Pelodiscus sinensis: one gene and its partner. The protein of the gene in region 1 purifies or fractionates together with the protein of each later gene. This does not show direct contact. Links are inferred from orthologs where the notes say so. Each region holds a gene or a part of one and is shown in the gene's direction. Other genes may lie near its edges.

Region 1 (3,746 bases):
TCACCTAGGCGTACGTGGGGCAAGTTCGGCCGGCACAGGCCTGGAGACCACAGGGTGAGTGAAATGCTGCAGCGCCTCGGCTGTTGTCTTTGGAGGCAGACAGCTGCCAGCGGCATCCCTGTGGGAGCTAGGCCTAAGCACCACCCAGGAAGCCAGCGAGAGAACGGGGACTTGCGCCCAGCTCTGGCAAGCCTCCCTACTGCCCTGCAGACAGCCCGCTGCCCCTCCAGCACCCCCACCCTGGCGGACATTTCCCCCCTCGCTGGGGCTGCCAGCTGGATCTGGGGAGTTCATTCTGCTGTGCATCTCTCTTGCACACACACTTCCCTGGCCTGCACACACACACACTTCCCTGGCCTGCACACACACACGCACACACTTCCCTTGCCAACACACACACTCTTCCCCGACCTGCACACACACACACACACACACACACACTTACTTCCCTTGCCTACACACACACACACTTCCCTGGCCTGCACCTGCACACACACACACTTACTTCCCTTGCCTACACACACACACACACACTTCCCTGACCTGCACACACACACACACACACTTCCCTTACCTAAACACACACACTTCCCTGGCCTGCACACACTTCCCTTGCCAACACACACACTTCCCCGACCTGCACCTGGGCGCGCGCGCACACACACACACACACACACACACACACACTTACTTCCCTTGCCTACACACACACACACACACACACACTTACTTCCCTTGCCTACACATACTTCCCTACCCCCTCCCCTCCCCTCCACTTACTTCCCTTGCCTGCTGCGCCAAGCAGGATTGGTCCACACCGCCAGGCGCTCCCCCCCCCCCCCCACACACACACTTTTGCGCGTGCGCTCCACTCGGGGAAATAAGGCAGCTGCGCTGCGCCTACACACGGAGCCTTACGGCCGCGGGGTGTATCGGCCCGCGGGCAGCGGCCGGGCTGCCTGCAGCCGGGCAGGTGGAGGCGGCGGGGCCGGGGCTGTCGGGGGGCCGGGCTGCGGGGCAGAGGCTGCGCTAGGCGGCCCGTCGGGCAGGAGCGGGGATGGAGGGGCCGGGCTGCGAGCCGCTGCCCCCCGACCTGAAGGAGCTGGAGGGCAAGGTGGGGCGGCGGCCCCCCGACGGGCTGCTGCGGTGGCTGCGGGAGGACCCGGCCGCGGCGCTGCTCGGGGAGAGCCCGGCCCGGGGGCAGCGCCGGGGGCTGGCCGGCAAGATCAAGGCGCTGAAGCTGGAACTGGTGAGTGGGAGACCCCCGCCCACTGCCTGGTCTGCCCCCCCGAGCCCCTCCCCCGCCTGACCCCCCAGCTCCCTCCCCATCTCCCCCTGTCCCCCATCTTCTCCCCCGCTGCCTGGTCTGCCCCCCCCCCGCTTTCCTCTCCCGCCTGACCCCCCCAGCTCCCTCCCCATCTCCCCCTGCCCCCCATCTTCTCCCCCACTGCCTGGTCTGCCCCCCCCGCCTGACCCCCCAGCTCCCTCCCCATCTCCCCCTGCCCCCCATCTTCTCCCCCTCTGCCTGGGCTCTCTCTCCGGCTTCACAGCCTCCTCCTCACCTTCTCCCTCCCCATCTCCCTCCTCCCCACTGCCTGGCCTGCCCCTCCCCCGCCTGACCCCCCAGCTCCCTCCCCATCTCCCCCTGCCCCCCATCTTCTCCCCCACTGCCTGGGCTCCCTCCCCGGCTTCACAGCCTCCTCCTCACCTTCTCCCTCCCCATCTCCCTCCTCCCCACTGCCTGGTCTGCCCCCCCCCCCCGAGCCCGCCCCCCGCTTTCCTCCCCCGCCTGACCCCCCCAGCTCCCTCCCCATCTCCCCCTGCCCCCCATCTTCTCCCCCACTGCCTGGGGTCCCTCCCCAGCACCACCGCCTCCTTCTCATCTGCCCCCCCGCCTGCGCCTCCTCATCTCCCCCCCACTACTGGCCTGCCCCCCCAGCTCGCCCCCATCCTCCAGCTCTCTCCCCCTGCCCCCCATCTTCTTCTCCACTGCCTGGTCTCCCTTCCTAGCACCACAGCATCCTCCCCATCTTCCCCCCCCTCCGCCTGCCCCTTCTCATCTTCCTCCTCCCCCCTCACTCCCTGCTGCCTGGTCTCCCTCCCTGGAGCTTCAGCCTCTTCTCCATCCCCCCCCCTTTGCCAGTCCCTGGGGCTATACTCCTTCTCCCCATACTTGCCCCTGTCCCTTCCCATCACCCCTGGGGCCCCAATCTCTCTACCCCCCATGCCACTCCCACCTGCTCCCTGTGGCTTCTGGCAGCCCTGCTTTCCCCCTTGCCTGCCCCCTTGGGCTACGGCCTCCCACCTCCTCTTCCCTTCCCTCTTTGGGCTACAGCCCCCCTCCCCATCTGCCCCTCACCCTGTCTGCCCCTCGGGCCTGCAGCCTCCCATCACATCCTCCCTTCTCCACTGGAGCCACACCTCCCCCTTGATCTCCCCGGGGGCGAGGGTTGGGACAGTTCTTCCCCTCTCTGCGCTAGGGCCAACACTGCCCTCCTGCCCCATGGAGTCACCCCCCACCTCCTCTCCCTCTCTGCCCCATGGGGGGCTCAGGGCAGCACCACTCCCTGCTTCCCTGCCCCGTGGGAGGGCGGGGACCGTCCTCTCGCTGCCTGCTCCGTGGGGTCACCGATATTCTGCTCTGCCCATCGCTGGGGCATCTGGCCCCTCCTCTCTAGAGCCAAGCCTGGCTCGGTGGGTGGGGGAAGGGGTTCGTTGTGGTGGGAGAGCCCCGGGGTCTACGCTCTGAACGTGGGGACGTGGCCCCAGGGTTGAGATGCCCGACCCGGCTGGAGTTCCCAGCTCCTCTGGCAGTCAAGCTGCAGGCCCAGGGGGGGGGGGCAGGAGGAGGCAGTGTGGGGTTGGGACTGTCCCCTGATGTCCCTTTGGGTGTTGGCTAGGTCGGGGAGAGCAGCCTCCAAAGGAAAACACTGGAAAGGGGGCCACTGTGCTCCCGGCCTGTCTAACCATGGCTGTTTAAAAGCTTATCGTTAGGGAAAGGAGGAAAGTCTGGTGGATAAACCACACGGCTGGAGTCCAAGAGACCTGGGGCTCTTCCACTGAGTGTCTTGGACAAGTTCCTTACTCTTGTCCCATGCCTCAGTTTCCCCACCTGAAACTCCTCCCTCTAGTGGCTCGATTTTTGCTGGCAGTTGTGCGCATGCACTAGTCTCTCCCCTTGTCCATGACTCAGTTTCCCCTGCTATAATGAGGCCGGTGGGCACATTACCATATCTCCTAGTGGCTTGGGCAGGGCGACTTTTGGCTCATTGAATGTCAAGCGCTTTGAGATCCTTGAAGGGTAGCGGGCATAGAAGGGCAAAATATGATCTAGCCAAAAACTGGGTAGGCAGGTTTTTCTCCCCAAAAGAGCAGGGATCATCTTTTAAGTGTTATAGGCAGGGAATTCTAGCCCTCTTCCCCCTTCCATGTGTCAGCTGCTGTCTCAAGTCGCCTCTTTTCGCCGTCTGTGGCTGCTTCCTACCTCCGCCCCCCCCCCCCCGTTCACCGCCAGGAAGAGGGAGCTGGCCTCCTGCAATGTCAGCTGTGTTCTGAACACGGAATCCTAACGCTGCCAACGGCAGGAAGCAAGCAGCTGGCGAGTGACTCACGGCATCGCGACGGGGTGACTTGGGAGTCGGAGAGCAGTTATTGTCGTCAGGCGACCCGGCAGGCCGGAGGTTAGCGAGGAGGAGGGGGGAGTGATCTGCTGTAGGGGCAGTGAACCAGCCAATTTCCAACCCCCT
Region 2 (3,746 bases), on another chromosome or scaffold:
AATGATGTAAACACTCTGACTGCTTTATTCAATGCCCCCTACAGTCCCAAATTCGTGTCAACACCACCACTTAGTGCTCTATTCTATTTGACTATTGAGAGCCACAGTCCCTGAACTCAAATCCTAGCCCTATGTTGGGTTCCATGGCTAAAAGTGGCCACAGTTGCCAGAGACAATGACTTCTTACCAGGGACCTTCTTGCATTATTCACAATGGCTGTGGCTCAGAGAGTTGAGTTCCAAATGTCCAATGTTGCATCAGGCCCGCAAAAGCTGGCAGTTGTAGGTATGGAATACTAATATAAATATGGCAAAGGCATTCCTTGCTGTCTCAGGACATGATTTATGTTGTGTTCACTGTCATTTTTCTATGGAGGGGAGGTAGCTCCTCCCATCTTAGTGAGGCTCAGAGATTGACTTGGCTATTAGAAAATGCCCAGTGAGATATTTGGGGAAAGGAAAGCTTTGAACTAGAACAAAAATTGCTTGGGCAGATTGGGATAGCTAGAGATATTCTTCATTTAGAAAGAGATATGTCGTTAAGTACACTTAATAGCAAGCTATAGGGTGTTGGTGTATATAAATAGTCCAACCCTTATATTATTTTAATGTTTTTGTAGGTAGATGGAATCCAGTTCCATTTGTTCTGGGTTAAACAAAATCCTCTTTTGTTGTTGACAACCTGTGGTATTACCAGTTATATTAGCTTTCATCACAGTGTAACACCCATCCCTCCCTCCCTCCACTGCTATGATCGCTAAAGCTCGGTCGGTGCTTGGAGGTGGGGAACCCTCAGATGCCTTGCAAACGACAGCAGAGCGAGCCGGCTCTGGAGCCGCGGTGGTCCCGGGAGCCGGCACTTGCCCTGCGTGCTCCCTGCGGCGGAAGGGTCCGTGGGGACACGGCTCTTGCACTGCCTGTCAGCCACGCTCCCGCTCCGCACGCTCTCACCCTAAGCCGGGCCTCCGCGCAGGCTGAAGGCGAAGCCGGACGCGCCCAGGCGGGGCGGGCTGAGCGTCCCTGGGACCCCGAGGCGCCAGCCCCGGCCGCTCACTCTCCTATTGCGGGGGGGAGGGGATGACGATCGCTGTGGGGTCTGACGGGGGTGGGACACGTGCGGCTGATGCCAGCCTTGTCTTCGCTGGGCGGCCGGGGTCCCACACCTGCGCTGGGGTTACCTCAGCCGCCGGCACGGCCTGAACCCCCGACAACATCTGCCGCCATTTGCCTAACGGAAGCCAGGGAGTCGATGCGAATCTGCTGAGGAGAAAGCAAAGCCTTCTCCTCCTCCCCCGTTACCAGGGAACGAATTTACTGAAACTAATCGGTTCGCCTCTGCCCAGGAATGACGAATCTGCGGAGGTCATTCCAAAGACACTTGAGAGCGGCCCTACCTCTACGGCAAACAACTTTTCCCAATACTCCTCGGGACAGCTTCGCCCCGCCTCACACGTCCGTCCGTACGCTAGCGTGGTGGGCGTAGCTCTGGGTCCCGGCTGGGGCCGCTCGGTGCTTCCTCTGGACAGAGCCGTGTTCGCTGCAGCTGAGGAGTCGCGGCCCCGGGTTACCTGAAGCCTCCGGTCCCATCAGGAGGAGCAACCGCGGCGGATCCCCGTACCGGACTCTGCGGCCCTGAGAGAAGCTGAGCGCGGCGGCCAGGCGGGCGCAGGAGGCCGGGTCCGGGCGGACCGGTCAATGGACCAGCCGGGCCTGGGGCAGAGCCCGTGGAAACAGCTGCCCAGCCCCCGGCGGGCCTCCCAAAATGTCGGCGTGAGGGGGAGGAGGAGACCCCGCCGCTGCCGGGCCCGGGCTGCCGAGCCGAGCGCCGCGGAGCGGATGGTGCTGCCGTTGCTGCGGGGACGCTGAAGCGTCGTCGTCTGGGGCCTCTGTGCGTCCCCGTCCCCCTGTTTGGGCCGGTGTTCCCCGGCTCCGCCCGGCGGCACCATGTCGGCCAAGGTGCGGCTGAAGAAGCTGGAGCAGCTGCTGCTGGACGGGCCGCGGCGCAACGAGAGCGCGCTGAGCGTGGAGACCCTGCTGGACCTGCTGGTCGGGCTCTACACCGAGTGCAGCCGCGACTCGCCGCTCCGCAGGGACCGATATGTCTCCGACTTCCTCGAGTGGGGTGAGGCCTGTCAGGGGAGGGCGGGCGGGCGGGCGATTCCCGGGGGTCGCGGTTCGGACATCTCCCGGCACGACGGAGAGGATACCCCTGGAGCTGGGAGCAGCTCTGGGCTAGTGAGAGCTGGGTTGGGGAAAAGGAGCAGCGCCAGCTCGTCATTTCTCCCTCTCCCCCCAGGTTTAAAGCCCATGCTTTGCATGAAGGGGAGATGCCGCCCATTGGGTATGACGCATCCCTTGGTAACACCCTAGCTGCCAGGATGTGACCCTTGAAACCCGGTAACCGCCGCCTCCCTTTCCAAAAGAGCCGCCTGGCTGCGAGTAAAAGGAGTGGCCCTAGAGTGCCCTTGGCCTGAAACCCTGCCTGGCTTAGCCTGAAATGTCAGGCTAATCCGGTGCCTACCTGGAACGGATGGGGTGGGGGCAGCAGGGACAGGCCAGGAAATTCTGCTTCTTTAGCAAGGCTTTGTGTCCTGTGTGTGACAGATTTGTTATAATCGGTTAAAAGAGGAAGGGGGGCTTGTGAGGAGGGTACTTCACATTTAGAGTGCATGCTTTAATCTGAGTGTACCTTTGAAGGAAAGAGGCAATTCCAGATAATCCATGTGATAAGTTTCATTATTTGTGTTCCATGGTATTAATCAACCTGACTGCTGAAAACCCACAAGAAAAGGCACGGGTGGTGGCACAGGATAATTTTTTTTTCTTGTAAAGGTGTATCTTTGTTATGAATTTTATTTATAGGTAGTGGTTTGGTAATACTATTAGACTGGATTGGCTCTACTCCCTGGTTTATGTTAAATTGGTGATGATAGCTGACCAGTTTAGGTTGTTTAAATAAATATGATTGGTGAAGGTGACTAATTTTCTTTGTGGCATAAAAAGCTGTGGGGGAGGTAAGGCTTATAAGATCTTGGGCACATTGCATTATCCTGTGTGTCACACGCATATGAATTAGATTGGTAAAGAAACACCCTATCTAAAAGGATTTCCTTGGGTGGGGCTATAAGGAAGTCTACATCTTTATCTTAATAAATACCAAATGCCTTAGTATTAGATTAGTGCTTTAAAATATCAGAATAGCTGGTTCTTAATTTCTGTGGGGACCACCACTCTTTGTTACATGCTAGCAACCTAAGGGGGATTCCATTTCTGAAGTTATCTATTGATGTCAATAATGTGATTGTCAACTGAATAATTAACAATTTCTCACATCTGCATTGTAAGTCTACAGCTATTGGTGCATTTGTTTTGTAGTGGAGCTTTTTGTATTTCATCTGCAGAGTGGATTCTTTTTCCATATCCTTGTAACAAATGCTGTATGATTTCACTTTGAGAATTTACTTGTTCATAAGTTACCATATAGTCTCTTACAATCATATGTTTATAGCTTTGTCCTGATATTGAGAAGGCAAGATTAGGGCAGATTTCTGGAGGATAAGGTACTTTCTCTACAGTTCTTTGGTGGTCTCATCCCTTATTGGACCACCACCACATTGTCATCCAGTGTGTTTATGACAGAATATTTATTCTGTTTCTACTTGTGCAAGAATAGGAGAAGCAATTTGACATATTCACTAAATATGAAAAGCTTTCTGGCTTGAAGCAACATATAACAACAATAATGCA

Evidence for each region. The genes of interacting proteins can lie anywhere in the genome.
Region 2: the proteins of LURAP1 (region 1) and CDC42BPB purify together in Homo sapiens (co-immunoprecipitation; 3 studies listed by BioGRID and IntAct, with this or other methods). This does not show direct contact. The link is inferred for Pelodiscus sinensis from reciprocal best matches to the Homo sapiens genes LURAP1 and CDC42BPB.

Annotation. Positions count from the first base shown.
Region 1 is NC_134719.1:2,896,390-2,900,135, forward strand, and holds the start of LURAP1 (leucine rich adaptor protein 1), read left to right. Parts: upstream 1-882; 5' UTR 883-1,057; coding exon 1,058-1,249; intron 1,250-3,746. UniProt on the Homo sapiens protein: Acts as an activator of the canonical NF-kappa-B pathway and drive the production of pro-inflammatory cytokines. Promotes the antigen (Ag)-presenting and priming function of dendritic cells via the canonical NF-kappa-B pathway.
Region 2 is NC_134714.1:21,258,550-21,262,295, forward strand, and holds the start of CDC42BPB (serine/threonine-protein kinase MRCK beta), read left to right. Parts: upstream 1-1,427; 5' UTR 1,428-1,943; coding exon 1,944-2,121; intron 2,122-3,746. UniProt on the Homo sapiens protein: Serine/threonine-protein kinase which is an important downstream effector of CDC42 and plays a role in the regulation of cytoskeleton reorganization and cell migration. Regulates actin cytoskeletal reorganization via phosphorylation of PPP1R12C and MYL9/MLC2.